Linked DNA regions of Drosophila melanogaster. The protein of the gene in region 2 interacts with the protein of the main gene of each other region in a pairwise test. Each region holds a gene or a part of one and is shown on either strand. Other genes may lie near its edges.

Evidence for each region. The genes of interacting proteins can lie anywhere in the genome.
Region 1: the proteins of Nmda1 (region 2) and CG14207 interact in a two-hybrid assay, tested with the Drosophila melanogaster proteins (one large-scale study listed by BioGRID).

Annotation. Positions count from the first base shown.
Region 1 is NC_004354.4:19,601,894-19,611,803, forward strand, and holds CG14207 (uncharacterized protein), read left to right. Parts: upstream 1-3,305; 5' UTR 3,306-3,610; coding exon 3,611-3,789; intron 3,790-7,569; coding exon 7,570-7,596; intron 7,597-8,244; exon of another isoform or gene 8,245-8,269; coding exon of another isoform or gene 8,270-8,361; intron 8,362-8,487; coding exon 8,488-8,569; intron 8,570-8,634; coding exon 8,635-8,730; intron 8,731-8,802; coding exon 8,803-8,997; 3' UTR 8,998-9,380; downstream 9,381-9,910. Other genes in the region: tyler, read left to right, coding at 9,864-9,910.
Region 2 is NT_033778.4:12,873,547-12,881,591, reverse strand, and holds Nmda1 (N-methyl-D-aspartate receptor-associated protein), read left to right. Parts: upstream 1-1,793; 5' UTR 1,794-1,903; intron 1,904-1,935; exon of another isoform or gene 1,936-2,144; intron 2,145-2,218; exon of another isoform or gene 2,219-2,388; coding exon of another isoform or gene 2,389-2,395; exon of another isoform or gene 2,396-2,445; 5' UTR 2,446-2,500; coding exon 2,501-2,540; exon of another isoform or gene 2,541-2,865; coding exon of another isoform or gene 2,866-2,881; coding exon 2,882-3,207; intron 3,208-3,270; coding exon 3,271-3,519; intron 3,520-3,577; coding exon 3,578-3,937; 3' UTR 3,938-4,498; downstream 4,499-8,045. Other genes in the region: AspRS (Aspartyl-tRNA synthetase), read right to left, coding at 1-84, 317-642, 722-802; Lfg (lifeguard), read left to right, coding at 4,802-4,820, 5,385-5,491, 5,649-5,750, 5,813-6,319; Balat (Beta-alanine transporter), read left to right, coding at 6,662-6,774, 6,938-7,253, 7,312-8,045.

The DNA of each region.
Region 1 (9,910 bases), on a different chromosome or scaffold from region 2:
AGGGTTGTCTATCTACCGATAACATTACTCATCGGATATCGTGATTATATGCGCGCGTAGTTCAAACTTTTGATTTTGAAATGGCCATTGTTACAGCCATTTCTGTGCTAAACCAAAAAATTATATATATATATATAAATTCCATTTCAGTAATATGAACATAAATTATTTTATTACCTAAAAATTCTTCAAATTCTATTAAATTTCCTTTTGTATTTATAAATTGCTTAGCTGTAAATTTATCAATTAAACAGACAACCAAACCAAAATGTTCTGTATATGCATATGTAGGAAAATTGTGGTAATTGCTTCATTTATTAGTCCATTGTTATTGAATTTAAATTTTGATGACGCACTATCCATGACATCAGCGGATATATTTCAAAAATATGTCACCGGGCTAGAATGGAATTGAATTACAGCTACAGCTTTGTGGGTGTAATTTAATTGAGCAACTCACGGCTCTGGTGCTAAACAAAAATGATTTAAGCCGTGAACGGCTTACGGTTTCGAACAATAAATAGCCGACTGTCGTTTTTGCGCTTCATAAAGTTTAATTTGTGTATCTGCCCGCCTATAATTAAATAGTGCCCGCACAGGCGCTGCACTCGTACGTATACGTAATACGCGTTTACACTTATGTACATAAATATGTACATACATGTCCAACAATCCAACAATCCGCATGGGCGAAAGCATACTTTGTTTGAATACCACGACGGCTGACATATATTCCGATGCTGTCGTCAAGCAGAAGCCATCCACTGGCCGCCAGTGGATGAGTCTGCCCACGCAGGAGTAGATCGCTATTTGGTCGAGCTGAAAAATTAGTGAGCGCTCATCGTCGACCAAAAATTCCATGCTAAATCATCGCGAGTAAATTTTGATTGATTTCTGACTGCGAGGGGGTGGCTAGGTGGCTGCTGGCTCGCTGGCTAGCTATACATTTCGTTTTATTTTGTTTTTGTTTTTTTCGATTTGGAATGGACTATGAGTTTAAGTGGGATGACATGCCGGCAAATGACTAGAGCACTTATATATATACACTTATATATATATATATAAATATATGTATATACACTTGCTCTGCTTTAGCTTCGTCGAGAATTCTCTGGTGACGTGGGGAAAATTTGTTTTCCCAATTTCTTGTCGATCTTCACGAGATTTGTACATTCGTATGTACATATGTATGTACAATATGTACGTTCTTTCAGTTGGCTTGGCAAAACAATAATACACATACTGCACACTCATGTTTCTAGATGATTCCTACAATATTTATTAGATCCACCTAGATCATTGGAATTTATGAAATCAAACAAAATTGATTTGAATGATTTGAAAAGGCACAAAATACAATTGAATTAAGACTGAAACGTGCACGAATGTGCAAACTTGGAATCCTCTTTTCAAAAATTAATTTTGTTTGAATACCGATATGTATGCTTTGTGGGGACACTGGGGACTTCAAGGTCGAGATTATTGATGAAAATGAGTTTGTTGTTTGGACAGGGGGCATTAGCCATTAGCCATTGCGAGCATGTGGGCGCTGTGAAAAATACATATGTACATATGTACACATGTATGTATGGATGTACAATGAAAACACCTCAGCCGTTAAGCCACGATGATTGTCGTTTTATTTTCGAAATTCGTGATTAAGTCTATAATTATTTTGATGGCACAACTGCCGTTGTCCCCGATGGAATTTCGAGCAGTAAAACGGTCACGGATTCAAAATATTGCATTTTAATATGTCGCACTTGCACTTAAAAAAAAAAAACAAAAGAATGTAAGTTATGTGCAGGCAATAACAGCTTTAAAAGATATCAAATTTCCAGCTAATGAGTTTTCTTATGGATGAGAGATGCAATTGTTAAGTTGAAGAAAAATCTAGTTTGTCTAGCTAAATATGCATATGGTTCATAAAACTTATGAATATATATCGCACATTTTTTCTGCAGTTGCAACTTTGCAATCCGGCTCTCATTAATTTCAATTTAAATTTTAATTCCCCTGGCCGACGCTCCCTAAAAGGAATTGAATCGAATCGAATGGACTCGACTTGGCTCGATTCCCGATTCTCGACTCCGACCGCCAATGTCACGCGGCTGAGTCATTTCGCATTTGTTTACAAACAAACCGATGCGGCGGAGTGGGTAGTACCATGGATATGGCCAAGCACACTGGCAGAAAACGACACAGATACTAAGATACTATAATGCCTCTCTGTTAGATTAGGAAACATATCCTATTATAGCTAACAAGCTTACAACAGTACAATTTCCAATCTTAGCTCAGCATAGAGATATTTAAATTTACATATGTATATATGACATATATTTTTCTGCGTGTATTTGGGCCGCCAACGTTCTCCACCCACCCGGTCTAATATTGGGATTTATCGATTCGCACAATGGGCGGAATTGGCTTTTTGATTTAAGGTCTTAATGATGATGAGCTCTGGGTGTAAGTAACCCCGCGAATATGGACAAGATATCGTGGGCCATCACGCCATAGATGTTCTATTTTAGGACGATGGATAATGCCAACCCACCGCAGGACGGAAAATGCACTTTCCACCAATGTGCAACTCTCTCTCTCTCTCTCTCTCTTTCTCTCTATACCGAAGATCATTTCCCAAAACGGTAGGAAGCGTTGATCGGTTAACCGGTTAACTCAACACGACTCATACTCACACTTTCCACTCGCACTCACAGCACACAAATGCTGAACCAGATGCAATTGGAATCACAGTTCGAGGAACTCACTTCCATGACTGAATGGCTCCCACGCGAGAAGTTTTAAGCATACTTATCAAGATCAAGTTGATCATCAACTAATTAATTGTTGCTAATTGAACACTTGTTCCTAGAAAGTTTTTTAGGAGCTTTGAAATGTGTTATGTTATTTCATTGCATTTATGAATTACTAGCTTATTAACGGAAAATAAATCATGGCTTCCTTGTTTTCGGTCATTTTGTATAAACCAAATTTGTCTTACAACTATTGTTTCACTTCTAAATGTGTTCCCCGTGCGTCATTATTTCCATAAAATACAAAATCAATACAGCGAATATAGTGTTTTGGGTGGTCCGCTAACGATTAGTGGTTAAAGTACGCTTAAACAATTCCCTTTGCGGATAGAAGTTCTTTTTGATCCAATGGCAATAGAAACATAATCAAATCCGCAAATCGATGACTAAATGCGGCTTCATCGGTCTATCGATATCGCCACACTGCTGCGCAGCGGCAATCGAAGTACAATCGGTACGAAAGCTATAAAAGCAAAGACACACTGTGAATGCAAAACAGTTCAGAAATTGAAACGCGGCTATCTGTGCGATACGTCCAACCGAAATCACACACTTGAACGTCTTGAGTTTCGAATACATATAGAAAACCCATCGAGTTCCCTTTTTTTTTGGTTGCTCCGTCGATTAGCAAGTGAACAAGCTCGAAAGCGCGTTGAGCAGAACAGAACAGAACAGAGAATAATAGAACGGTATACAGTATATACAGTATATACGGTATACAGTGTACAGCGAAGAGATTGGAGATTCCATCTAGCGAAGCAACCACCAAATAAACCACCACAAACAGCACAACAATGGCCGAGGCTAACAAGAGGAATATCCCCATCAAGCTGGGCGACTTCAGCGTCATCGACACGGAGTTCAGCAACATCCGCGAGCGCTTCGACTCCGAGATGCGCAAAATGGAGGAGGAGATGGCCAAGTTCCGTCACGAGCTGATGAACCGCGAGGCGAACTTCTTCGAGTCCACCAGGTAAGCGTAATAGTGATACAAGTGGGATCCCAACACTGGGATAATTCCACATAGCCTGATTCTACCGGGTGTACTGCGATGGAACCCAATCCCGAATCGCTCGACTCATCGCCTCGTTGTTGGCTCCTCTAAATATAGGCGCACATCTTGCCACATCGCCCACTGGTCTGGAGCTCTTCACCCACAGATTCTCCTACGTATGTACATATGTACATACGTGCATACATACATATGTATGTACTAAACAGTGGGCCTCATAGGAGGCGAGCGGCCCGCTTCAATTCTCGCCCCAGATACACTATGTGTATTTCTTTGCCGTCGCTCTGGGGGAGGATGAGTCACCAGTTCTAAATTCTCCGCCGCTGTCTCCGGCCAAGAAACACATGTGTATCTGCTGCCCGCCACCCGCTAGTAAATCCCCCTCCCCCGCCCCGGCACATGGCTAGCCAGCGTCTTGTGCCCTCCCCTTTCGCTCGATCTCGAGTCCCATACGGTTTATGCAACCGTTATGTAGGGCATAACGGAATTTTTCGAACTTTGAGAATCACCTGTGCCAAGATATTCCGTTATATGTGTGTGTGTGTGTGGGTTTCTAGCTGAGCAGAAAAATGTAATTGTTGATAATGAGATAAGATATTAAAATCTGGTCTCTGCGAGCAAAATTAAATATTTGAAAACGCAAAGCATTGAAACGATCGGTGGCACACATGAATAATGTTCATTAAATCTCTAACTATTTCCATTTGTAGTTACTTGTTTTTAAAGCATACATAAGTGACAAACGCGTTTACCTAGCAATCTATTTCCATTTGCAAGTCAATTAAGTGATTCGGCGGTATTTTAACACCCTCGCATATTCATACGAATCAGAGAGAGGGAGAGAGAGAAATTCCAGTTGAATGTTACGAGTGGCATTTTCAATGAACATAGGTTTATTGCCCAAATCAGCGATTAATAAACAAACAATGCCCCAAAGGCGAATGGCAAATACTATGTCGCCGACGCCGTCGCGGTTGCGCGTCTCGTTAGCCTTTCCATTGGAGTTGCGTTGCGTGGGCGCCAGTTTTGGTTGCTATTGGGACGACCTCGCCGTATGACGCAATCGAACCGATGGACTCTATTTGTTGTTGCCTTCGCCATGGTCGCCACTGCATTTGCATGGCCACAACAGAAATGTTACGACTCCACCCCCCTCCCCCCCACCAGACTTCCGTCTGTTTCAGAACTTGGTAGCGCTCCTCTCCACAACTTTGCCCATTCAACGTCAAAGTTGGCAGTGAAAGGAAATTAACCCAAATTGGTATTGTGCCCTCCTGGCTGCAAATTTAATTGGAAATGAAGGGAAACTCACAGTGGCGGCATAAGTTGTGCGCCAGGGCTTGCTTCGGGCGATTAGCCTAATAATCGCCACAGATTGGCCACGTAGTTTAGTAGCTTAGTAGTAGTATTGGATATATACTTGCCAAATAATTCAATCATTCGCCCATAACTGCCCACTGTCCGCAACCTTTGACCTAAGCGGCTTGGCTGTGGCTGTGGCGTGTTGTCAATTGAAGCGCTGCGTGATATCTGAATGACTCAGCACGGAATAAACGCACGCCCCATATACAGGGCAATAAATCCATACAGGTAGGTGTATCTATGCCCTACCGAAGTTGCCACTTGAAGCAATAGTTTATGCTTTTAACTGGATACATTCCCAACAATGTATATTTTATTATTATGGCATAAGAAAAACATGTTTACAAACATGCAATTCCTGCGTAGCTGCCAAAAGCTGTTCAGGCCATTTGCACATTTTAAATAAAACTTTCTTGAACATATGTATGTATATACATACATATGTGTATGTATGTACGTACTGTCACATACTAACGATAGATTGTGTGTAGTGCAGGGCCTCATTTAACCAACTTGGCCATAAGCAAAGACCGCACATCAATGCTGGCGCCTTCAGATATGAACAATGTGCGGATTCAGATGGATTTGGATGCGGTTCCCAGTAAAATAGATTGGTGCGATTATCTCATGCAAATGCATGGAAATTGTATTGGCCAGATCGGATCGGATGGGATGGGATGGCTACCAAACATAGGCAATGCCAACGGTTTGCCTAATTTATAGACTCATTGTGTGTGCGCACAGTTTAAACAAATAAGTGCGCTAGGATCGTACATACATACATACATATGCACATATTTAACCAGCAAATAGATCTGTGCGAAAAGCTTTCGCACACACGGACAGTTTTCAGTTGCGATGAGCACACGCTGCGGCGATTTAGTTGCCAATATTGTTGGCTGGATGCTGATAATTCAAATGAGCAGCGAACTGCGATGATATCATGTCAATTTTTAGCTATTGCGCTGCGCTTCGACTCGATGCTATTCAATTCGATTTCAATCGATGACAAAACGCCGATCGTCGTCGATAATCGATATTTTAATTCGACATTTGTTCACACACACACGCACACACGCGTACACCGCAAACAACTAAAGAGAGCCATTTTGTTTGCGCTTGTTCTGGTTTTTTGGCCGCCTCTCGCGCCCGTGTTTATTTTCGTTCTTCTTTGGTTTCCTTTCGTTTGGCTTTTCAATAACGAAAAAATATGCATGACATCATTGTCATCAGATGCCAGCGAGATATTGTAGTCGCACCACACACACACAACTCACACACATGTAAAAACGTGGGCTGGCCGGAGAGGGTGGGAGTGAGAGCGGCTGCCAGAGTGGGAGGGCAGGTGCCTCTTCATGCTGTCCAAAGAAACTTTGGCCAGGCGGCTAACGGTTATTGGTACTTATCATTAGCGCGCTATTGATTTCTCTCTTCGAGGGGCGATCAACCTCGCAAAGCACATTGCAAGGTCGCCAATAAGCCCACGCACGTTCACGTTTCGGCTCCGATTGATAAGCTTTCTCTGCCTCTGCTCAGAATTTGCGGAGTGCCAATTGATGGCCGCTTATCAACGACTCTCGCTCGCATGCACACACACACAGATACACACATACATTTTGGCTTCATCGCCGACACGCACAGCGGCTTAACGGTCAATCAAATCCCGTAAGCTAAGAATGCAAATTAAGGTGAACCATAAAAAATATTTAAAAAAAAACGACTTACCTATCAATTGATGTGAGAGTGAAGTGAAGAATACAATATTATTTAAAATGAAATCACAAAATTTTAATAAGTGTAGATTTACTAATTTGAACTAAAAATAAAAATTATTGTGAAAAAGCAGTGCGACAAAATGTAATACAAAGTGAACAATTATGGACCAATGAATTATTTCCTGGGTAAATATGTAAATATTTTATGCATACTTTCCTCTATTGTAGGTAATATACATATTCTTTTTTTTTAGATGCTATGCTTGAAACACTTGGATCTTAATAGATAAACTTGCATTCTAAAGGAAATTGGGGACTGGAAGTGCGGAAAACAAAGGAGTTATCATTAATATATGTACATATGCATAAGAAACATGTACCAAAAATGATTAAATATTAATTACAAGAAAACATATGAATGGCTTGAAATTTTCATTGATCATTGTTAAAAATTCCAGAACTTTAATATCGAGTCAAGGCTGTACCTTTATAAAATAGTTAAAAAATTGCTCACCCTTGTACGATAATGTGTAGTTATCTTTTTGTCTAACTCATTATAAACAATTTCTATCTATTTTTCTCTTTCTTGCCGCTTGGAAATATTAAACAACCGCAATAATTTCCACATAATAATAATCTCCTCTCCTCTCTCTTAAAACAAAAGCTCTACTAAAAAAACAACAACTACCAGGTACAATAACGTAGAAAGTTTACAACCTAAACTTTTATTTTCTGTTTATCCTCAATGTTTTTTTCATTCACTCAACCCCTTATTGTTTGGTAACTAATGTATTGGTTTAATGTTATTGCAATCCACACAGACTAAACTAGAAACTCGTTACCAGATGCATCGCATGTTAATCGCCAAATATACACTATAACATTTATTTATAAACAATTTTGAGCCCGGTATAGACGCAAATACATAACTAGAAATGCATACAGTTCGTTTAAAACTAAAAGATAAAATTATAAAAGTTGTAAGTATAGGCAGTTTTTCATAATAGAAAACCGTTTTGATGCGATCCATACATACATATGTACATACATAGATACATATGTATGCATACAATTTCAAGGAAGCAAGGAATAGTTTTATTTGTAGTCTAGATACATGAAGCCTTAATTCTCAATTCCCTTATGGGTAGTTCCTTAAAATAGAAATTATTACAGACATATGGGGAGATTTATGTTTCGAGGGTGACAGCTGCTGCCCCCAGATCCGTACACATGTACATACATACATACGTACATCGCTTTCAAGCGGAAGCCAGATCTATTATTAGACAGGCGTCGAGCATCGCGGCTTCATTTAAGTTGGGTTCGTTACGTCCGGATCAGTTTCATCCCGGAGAAGCATCAGCATGGAGGCCTTTACGCGCACACTGCAAAATACCTTTCGCAGCACTAGGACCACCAGAACCACTACTACAACAACCACAAACTCCTCCACCAGGTTCCTACCTCACCTACGCAACCCTAACACCTTTGGTTTTATTTCGAGTCTACTTGTTCTTAAGTTTCGCTTCAACACTCAACTGCAATACTCATGTACAATATGTTCGTCTCAACTTATTTGCAGCTCAACGACAAACTCGGCGCTGCCATCCCGAATCCCAAAGCAACAGAACTACGTCTCCGACATTAGCTCACCCTTGATCCAGGTAAGCAATGCAAGGAATCTACTCTTGGTTGCCAAAGGATAACACTTATATATCCCCCTTTGCAGGATGAGGGCGATAACAAAGTGCTGAAGCTGCGTTTCGATGTCAGCCAGTATGCGCCCGAGGAAATTGTTGTGAAAACCGTCGACCAGAAGCTATTGGTAAGTCTCTGCTCAGGATGGTTATGTTTTGCAGAGTTTATCTAACATGGATATCTGATTCCTTTCGACTAGGTGCACGCCAAGCACGAGGAGAAGTCGGACACAAAGAGCGTGTACAGGGAGTACAATCGGGAGTTCCTGCTGCCCAAGGGCGTCAATCCCGAGTCCATCCGCTCGTCCCTCAGCAAGGACGGAGTCCTGACCGTGGACGCCCCCCTGCCAGCACTCACCGCCGGCGAGACACTGATTCCCATTGCGCACAAGTGAAGGCCAGCCCAGTTGTCCAGTTGTCCAGCTATCCAGTCACCATGGTCCCAAGCCGGTTGAGGAGCAATAGGCGCAGGAGGAGCAGGAGGAGTGCGAGCTGCTGCCGATCAGATTAAATCCATACACACATTGAGTTTAATCCAATCCTATCTAAATGATTAATTTTTTTGGTTCTGACTTAAAGCTAAACTATGTTACTGACGTACTACTCATTAACTTAAATATAATTGAAATTATTATTAAATTTGATTAATTTAATTCATATTTATAATTTTCGCATTAAACGTAATCAATTTTGCCGTAGTTGCCCCCCATTGGTTTTCCTTTCCTTCCATCGAAAATAAATTAAATATATATCCAACTGAGCGGATTTTGATCAGCGGATTTGTGCATCATTGACTAATTAGCTGCTGCTGAGCCATTTTCACTTTTTAAACGCTGAATTGAAATGATGATGTGCCTTTCCCTTTAGGGAATCGTGAGGCTTGAATAAAGTATATGGATTTCATTTATATTTGACTGTGGTGAATGATATTATTTATGATACAATACAACTTTTCTTTGCAATCGAATATACGGGGATATTTTAAATGGGGAAAAAATCCATCATACGGGCTTGGCTTGACGTTTCAGTTCAACATTCAATATTTCTTTTCCACTTAAAGTTCGTTCCGAAAAACCTTCGACTCAGATAGCTTGTGTGCAACACAAGCTAACCAAATTGTTGACGCTGCTCAGGGATGTCTTCCCTGGAGACCGGTGGTCCTGTCTAGTTGCAATTAACCAAATTGTGAGGCGACATCTCGCCGGAAATACTCAAATCCGATTTTCTAAATCGCCTTTCAAAGCAAATACAAAACGAAAAGATGCCGCCGCAGCTAATGTCCCAGATGGAAAATGGCGGCGAGGAGGA
Region 2 (8,045 bases):
AGCGACTGCTCTGTGCAGGATTCAATCTTGCTAGACACCGCCACTGGCTTGGCCTGGATATCAATAATGCTCTCCTTAGGGATACTGAAAAAATAAAGACGTTTTTGAATTATTAAATGAATTATTAAATTTGCAACAACAAAAATTCTAAGCAATGTTTATCATTTCATAAACCTTTAATTGATTTCACGATATCTTATCAAAGTATGATGAAAATATCTATATGGCCTGCGCAATTCAAATTCGATATTGTGCTTTTTTGGGTTACGGCTCTTAAGATAAACTTAAGATATACGAGGGAATATTTATAACTTACTTTCCCGCAAATTTGACCATCTGTTTGGAGATAACATCACCGACAGCCAGGATGCACTGCACCGTGCTGCTCTGCTGGCGCAGGATGAGGAAGCACTGCTTTCCCTTGGCTCTCGAAGTGTGGACGCGTCCTCGCACCCAGACCAGTCCTTTGCCCACCTGACCGCTTAGTTCCGAAACCGGGACAAAGTTGCGTTCACTGCGTTTGTCCTTGGATTGGATCATTTCCGAGAGGCCATATCTTCCGGCGGCGTGATCCTCCGCAGAATCGCCACCAGCGTTATTGGCCGCCGCGGTGGAGGCGTTCTCCGCTTTTTGTTCGGCTTTCTGTACACATAGAGATTAAAGCTGTTATCAGAGGTTCAAGAAAAACAAAACGCCACGTCCCCAAAACAAAGATTCTCACCTTAGCGGCCTTGGCCAGCTTTTTGGCTCCCTTCTTGGAGACCTGCTCCCCGTTGGCCACTTGCTCTTTGTCCTCGACCATCTTGGAATGCACAAAAACGGCTGTAAGGAAGGGAGGGTTGTATATTTTACAAGAGGGTCACAAAACCAGAACGTAGACCACACAGTTTCGATAAGCGAGCAACAGGCGAAAAAGGAGGAGTATTGTGTGCGTTGCGTCATGGTTTTATAAATAGCACTTGGCTGATGAAGTGCCCCATTTGCGAATAAGTGATATTGTCTTCCGGACTGCAGTTCAGTCACCCAGTCTCCTCCTCCAATAGCCATATGTCCACAAATATTTCCGGGGACAGAGAAACACTCTTTGTCTAGCGGCTCGCACATAACCTAAACTTTGCGGTCTTTTATCTGATCATTTACCGATTCTATTCACTTCCTGTCTCTTCCCCTATTGGTTATTTCAATGGTGCATTCGAGTGCACTCGACTTACCAGCTAGATCTTGCCCTTTTAATACACAAACGAATTGATTTCACGAGCGTCGTGTACTATTGCACATGCCACCAGCGCGGTGCAGTCTAGAGGATTTCTATCGCGGCTATCGATATATATCGATTGTTCCATGTGTGCTTCAGGGTGGCGCATTTCTGATTTTGTGACGTCACATGTCCAGCATCCTATGAATTAAGTTGCGCTTAGCTAGTGCTGAAAAATAATATTAGTAAATAAGGAGTATAGTATAGTATAAGAGTTAGTAAGTGCAGAATAATCTCAAAAATAATGAGCATAAGAAAATCTACAGAAGTGCCGTAGTTGAGAAGCTTAAAAAACAAAAGCATCTGTAGCATTTCTCAACATCTGGTGAAGCATTCTTAGTTTAATTACAATACTCTGTATGTTTTAAACATATATAAACGATAGTATATAATTTACAGAAAATGCGCCATAGTGTGGTACGTGTCAAATAAAATTTAAACGCAATAATGTTTAAGCCGAGTTTAATGTAGTCTGTAAATGTACCACTTTCTAAAAAAATTAGTTACACCACCATCGATAATTACAGCTGCGTTCCGATAGCAGTCAGCAGGCACATCTCTGTTAATTTATAGCAAAAAAAAAAAACAAATATTCAGAAAAACAACATTCAATTGTTTGTTTTGATCAAATAGCAACGTAATCCAGAGGTAATTAGTCATCCAAAGAGCATAATTTGAATAATGGGAAGATAGTAGGTCACGTCAAAGAAAATTATAATAGTGTGGTTTCCCGGTAATTTCGAGAAGCTGGCAATTTCCAAAAGTGAGTCACCACTTTTCCTACACCGAGCTGCTGTGTATGTATTATTTGCGCTGGTGGTGCTCCGGCTGAACTAATTTAATAGCTGCGACTACGTTAAAGCGCTTAAGCTCGCAGTTCAGCGTGTAGGTAAGGTTCATAAATGGCCCCAGCTATTTTCAGAGAACCCACACAAGAAAGCTTGAGAGGTACACGTCATGGGGGCCACAACAAACGAAACGGTGCCGAAGTTTCTCAGGCATTACTATAGTGGCAAATTGATTGATAATTAAAGTTGCATGCCACCAAAGGTGTGCACATTTCTTAGACACTAATTAAATTAGCTAATGATTGCTTATCATCGTGTCTTTGCAGGTAAAACAACAACGAAACAATGCAAGGTGAGTGGAATAAGGACAAGCCGTACTAACACATTCTTTTTGGATCTAAGTTTACTCCACAGCGGTTTCGGAATTACATAGAAATCAGAGCGAAGTCCCTCGAGAATGTCCTGGCAAAGTGTTCCCCAGTATCCCCAATACCAAGGTTCAATCTTCTTAACTTCTAAGCGAGTGTTACAGCTTACCCGTTTTCTGATCGCATGCTTTTGTTCGTCCCGGGGCTTGTCGACCCGTTGAATGCTCAGTAATTGCCCAGAGCTGATTCATTTCCATTACCTCTCTCTCTTTACACATCGTACTTGTCCCTTCTTATCATGGTTGTATGTACATATTTGCTCGAGATTGTTTCTTGGTTTACCGCATCTCTTCGTCACGGCGAAGCGTTTCATTTAGATTTTACAGTTCTTGGTAGACAGATTGCTGTAGCGAACGCGTTGGTAGCACCGTTTTAGATGACAAACTAAAACGAGATGTCTTATTTCGCAGATCCCAACCAGCAGTACAACTATGGCGGCGGTAATCCCCCGCAGGGAGGATATGGTGGATATCCACCTCAGGGCGGCTATCCACCTCAAGGACCGCCGCAAGGCTACCCACCCTATGCACAAGGAGGTGCTCAACCCTATCCACAGCCCTACGGACAGGGGCCTCCACCGGGAGGTTATGCTCCCCAGCCGGGATTTATCCAACCACCACCATCTGCTGGCGGCTACGGAGCCTACGATGATCCGGAGAGCCAGCCCAAGAACTTCTCGTTTGACGACCAAAGCATCCGTCGCGGATTCATACGTAAGGTGTACCTGATTCTAATGGTGAGCTTTAGATAATTCTGCATAGAAGGCATGTACAATAAGTTATCATTTCTGTGTCATTAGGGACAACTAATCGTCACTTTTGGAGCTGTTGCCCTGTTTGTATACCACGAGGGCACTAAAACCTTTGCCAGGAATAACATGTGGCTCTTTTGGGTTGCCCTCGGCGTAATGTTAGTAACCATGCTGTCTATGGCTTGCTGCGAAAGTGTGCGCCGCCAAACACCGACGAACTTCATATTCTTGGGTCTGTTTACAGCAGCTCAGTCGTTCTTAATGGGAGTTTCCGCAACCAAATATGCTCCGAAAGAGGTGAGTACTTCGATTTAATTACGATATGTAGTAAAGTGATACGATATCTGTTTTCCAGGTTCTCATGGCGGTGGGCATAACAGCAGCGGTTTGCTTGGCCCTAACGATCTTCGCCTTGCAGACAAAGTACGACTTTACTATGATGGGCGGTATTTTGATCGCCTGCATGGTGGTGTTCCTGATCTTCGGCATCGTGGCCATCTTTGTAAAGGGAAAGATCATAACACTGGTGTACGCCTCGATTGGAGCGCTGCTCTTCTCCGTTTATCTCATCTACGACACACAGTTAATGATGGGCGGCGAGCACAAATACTCTATCAGTCCCGAGGAGTACATCTTTGCGGCACTAAACCTCTACCTGGACATCATCAATATCTTCATGTACATTCTGACTATAATCGGCGCATCGCGCGACTAAGTTCCGCTCTATTTCCAAATATTGTTTGCAGCTTAATCGGGTTATTCAGTAACCTGGAATACACGAATATTGTTGTCGCGTAATCTCATCGGTGTGCTCCCCCAGTGGAGGTAATCTTCAACTAACGAATTACTCAAATACTTACAAATCTATCTACTTCGTGTTGTGTTTGCCCATTTTCCCCGTTTCCTTCTAGTTCTAAATGTCAACTAAGGCTATATGAACTACTTACTTTTTGTTATGTATGTTTTATTGTTGCTTAAGTTGAGGCGCAAACCAAGTGGATATTTCCAAATTTAAAAATAAAAAAATTATATATATGTATGTATACCAAATGATATGCCATTCAGATAAACGAAACAACAATAAATAGTCACGTATAAACATATTTATGTAAAAATATACATATAAGCAAGTTGGCTTGCAGTTGTTAACACATAAAACTTAACCGTGTGTAATAACCAAGGAATCCCGATTTTCAACTATGAATCAAGTACCGAACATTGTAATCCCTGCAGCGACACTGAGTTTAAAGTCAACAATAAAGCGCATCTATTTATTAAAGCCACAGACCCCTGCATTGTAGGGCTTCCGTCAGTGGTTCATCCAGTTCAACCAGCCAGCCACCACCAGATGCAACTTTAGTCTGCGACTTCAGAGCGACGCCGTTGGTTGGATTACTTCTACACTCCAGACCATTATCGTCTGCATTTTTGCTTTATCATTGCTTAAGTTAACTTTGTTATCTGCACCACCACAGAAAGAAGTCCGGGTGTTTTAATTTCGGGTTGGCCCCATATCATGCGTTTGACCCGGCCACCTGTTCAGTAGTTCGTGTGAATTCCAGCAGGGCGTAGCTATAAAATGTATCACTACCAGCAAGGTAAGTACCGCCCGGATTGGGCTGAAACCAAACCAAATTGGCTACGGAAAGGTGCTTTAGATTAGATAATCGATTTGGCTATTGTATAAAGCTTATTGACTGCATCGTTTTCTCTCAGTAAGAGCCAACAAAATATATCTCTCTCGGCGCATTTTCATCTGATAAGACAGCTGAAAAGGTTTCGTTATGAGCCCAAAAACAGTGATTCACCCAATCGAAGGGAGAGTGAACAACCATTTTGAAATTGTATGGTGGCAATATCAGTTACTCACCGACATCAATACACAAATCTTATCTAGAGTAGAAGTGTGGGGCTGTGATAAGAGCCGGTAACCGGCTAATCTCAACTCATACGTCCATATGGGAACACCTAGAAAGGGCGATTCGGTTCCATTAAGCTGAAACACTAGCACGCTGCCGGCAGTCGGGCAAAGAGAGCACCGTAACTTAAGTGACTAAAGTTTAGTCATAGCAATTTAGCCATGAGCAGCGACAATCATTTTCAGTACGGTTAGTCATTGCATTAACTTTCCTGCTTCCTTGAATTGTCTTCCAACCACACAGGCGATGAAACTGGCGCATACACAGATGCGGAAGCGGACAAGAGCTTCGCCTTCGATGACCAGAGCATCCGGAAGGGATTTATTCGAAAGGTCTACTTGATATTGATGGTAAGTGCTGATATTTGAACTGAAAAAGAAAATATCAATTTAAATTGTCCAAAAATAAAGGTATTTGCTTCACTACTTGTCTGCTTTGGGTCACTTTAAAACTTCAAGATTTATTGACTTCCTGCAATCTAATTTTGATATCGCGCTCTATTTCTAGTGCCAATTGCTGATCACTTTCGGTTTTGTTAGCGTATTTACGTTCTCGAAAGCTTCGCAGGAATGGGTGCAAAAAAATCCGGCACTGTTTTGGATAGCCTTGGTAAGTTTTTACGACTTTTATGCTAAATATTGAATACAAATATATCCAATTTTTAAACTCAGGCCGTTCTTATCGTGACCATGATCTGTATGGCCTGCTGCGAAAGTGTACGCCGTAAGACGCCTCTTAACTTCATCTTTCTTTTCCTGTTCACCGTGGCGGAGTCGTTCCTTCTGGGTATGGTCGCCGGACAGTTTGAGGCTGATGAGGTCCTGATGGCAGTGGGAATTACGGCCGCGGTGGCCCTGGGACTCACCCTGTTTGCCCTGCAGACCAAATACGATTTTACGATGTGCGGAGGAGTGTTGGTGGCCTGTCTGGTGGTCTTCATCATTTTTGGTATAATCGCTATCTTCATACCGGGCAAGGTGATCGGACTGGTCTATGCCTCCTTGGGAGCATTGCTCTTCTCCGTTTACTTGGTGTACGATACCCAGTTGATGCTGGGTGGTAATCATAAGTACTCCATCAGTCCTGAGGAATACATCTTCGCCGCTCTAAACCTCTACCTGGACATTATTAACATCTTCATGTACATACTGACCATTATCGGATTGTCTCGCAATTAGACTGGTCATTATGATCCATAGCTTCTATTCCAGTTTTAGAAATGTAACTTAATTTTATGTGCCCAGTGCCACCTTAGCCGGAAAGAAATACAAGACGACTAACTAATCCAACATTGTCGAGTGCTCGCTTTGGTTTGGGATTTTGGCTGGGATTGGGGCGCGCTCAACTAGTTCGAACCTTGTCCACACCGCGGTGTCCAATTAATTAATGCGCACGAGAGGCCGTAATGTAATTATGTTCAATCAGCCCCTGCAGCGCCACCAGTTCCTGGACTGGATTGAATGTGGACAAGGTGATCGGCGCGATCGTCAGTTGCGCGAGCGTCTGGCTAACGGGCGGACATGGATTTCGACGAGGTGCTGCGGGAGGTGGGCTCCTTTGGTCTCTACCAGAAGGTCATCATCTGTTCCGTTCTATTGCCCGCCGCGCTGCCCTGTGCCTTCCACGCATATAGGTTGGTCATCCTTCTTTGGTATTCTATAATAATAATATTGAAAAAGAAATCTTAATGGGATTTTCACATCCATGCGATAGCATCATTTGGGGTCTACCTTTTCGCCTCTTAAAGGTACCTCATCAGAAAATTTTCATAATTATCTAAAATGATTATTTTCTAGCCAGTTGTTCATAGCGGCCACACCTCAGCACTTTTGTCGCGTTCCTGAGCTGGAGCCCTGGACGCAGGACTATGTGCAGCTTGTTAAGAACCTGAGCATTCCGCGTAATCGCAATGGAGCCTATGCCGAGTGTTCCATGTACTCGAGAAATTACACCGATATAGTGCGCTATCTTGAGTATCGACCTCCTCCGGATTTGTTGCGACAACAGGCAGAGGATTTGCTCAAGTTGCAGCCGGATACGACGCAGGTGGTGCCGTGCCAACATGGCTGGCACTACGACAAGTCCATATACTCAAGTACGGTGGTTCAAGAGGTGGGGATTTTCCAATTGGATATGGTATGTTAGAATTATTTCCTCATATATCTTGCAGTGGAACCTGGTGTGCGACCGCAGCTTCCTTGTGACTTTGGCGCTTGTGGTCTTCGGTGTTGGCGGATTGCTAGGTAACTATGTATTTGGATATCTAGTGGATCTGTGGGGCAGGCGGCCATCCTTTTACGCTTATCTGCTGCTCGAGATCATTGCCTGTGCGGCCAGTGCCTTTGCCTGGAACTATTACACTTGGTTGGGCCTGCGCTTTGTGGTGGGACTGACGGTGCCAGCTATTCTGGCGAGTCCCTATGTACTGGCCATTGAGCTGGTGGGACCGGAGAGGAGAGTTTTTTGCACCATCGTCTCGAATATCGCCTACTCCTTGGGCTTGGTGGTATTAGCCGGAGTTATCTATATCGTACGTGATTGGCGGGAACTCAGTTTGGCAGTGTCCATGCCTTTGCTGATGCTTTTCTCCTGCTTCTTCGTGCTTCCGGAATCACCACGATGGTTAATGGCCGTGGGAAAAACCAGGAGGGCCATTAAAATTCTCAAAGTAATGGCCAGAGTGAATGGTGTGCGCGTAAATCGGGATTTTGTGGAACGGTTGCAGCGAAAACTTGTCATCACAAGGGCTGCGGAAACCAAATCTTCAATGACCACCCACTATGGGATATTGGACTTGTTTCGGGGACCCAATATGCGTCGGAAGACCCTGATCATAACCCTTATTTGGTTTGCCAACACCAGTGTCTACGTGGGACTGAGTTATTATGCTCCTGCGCTAGGAGG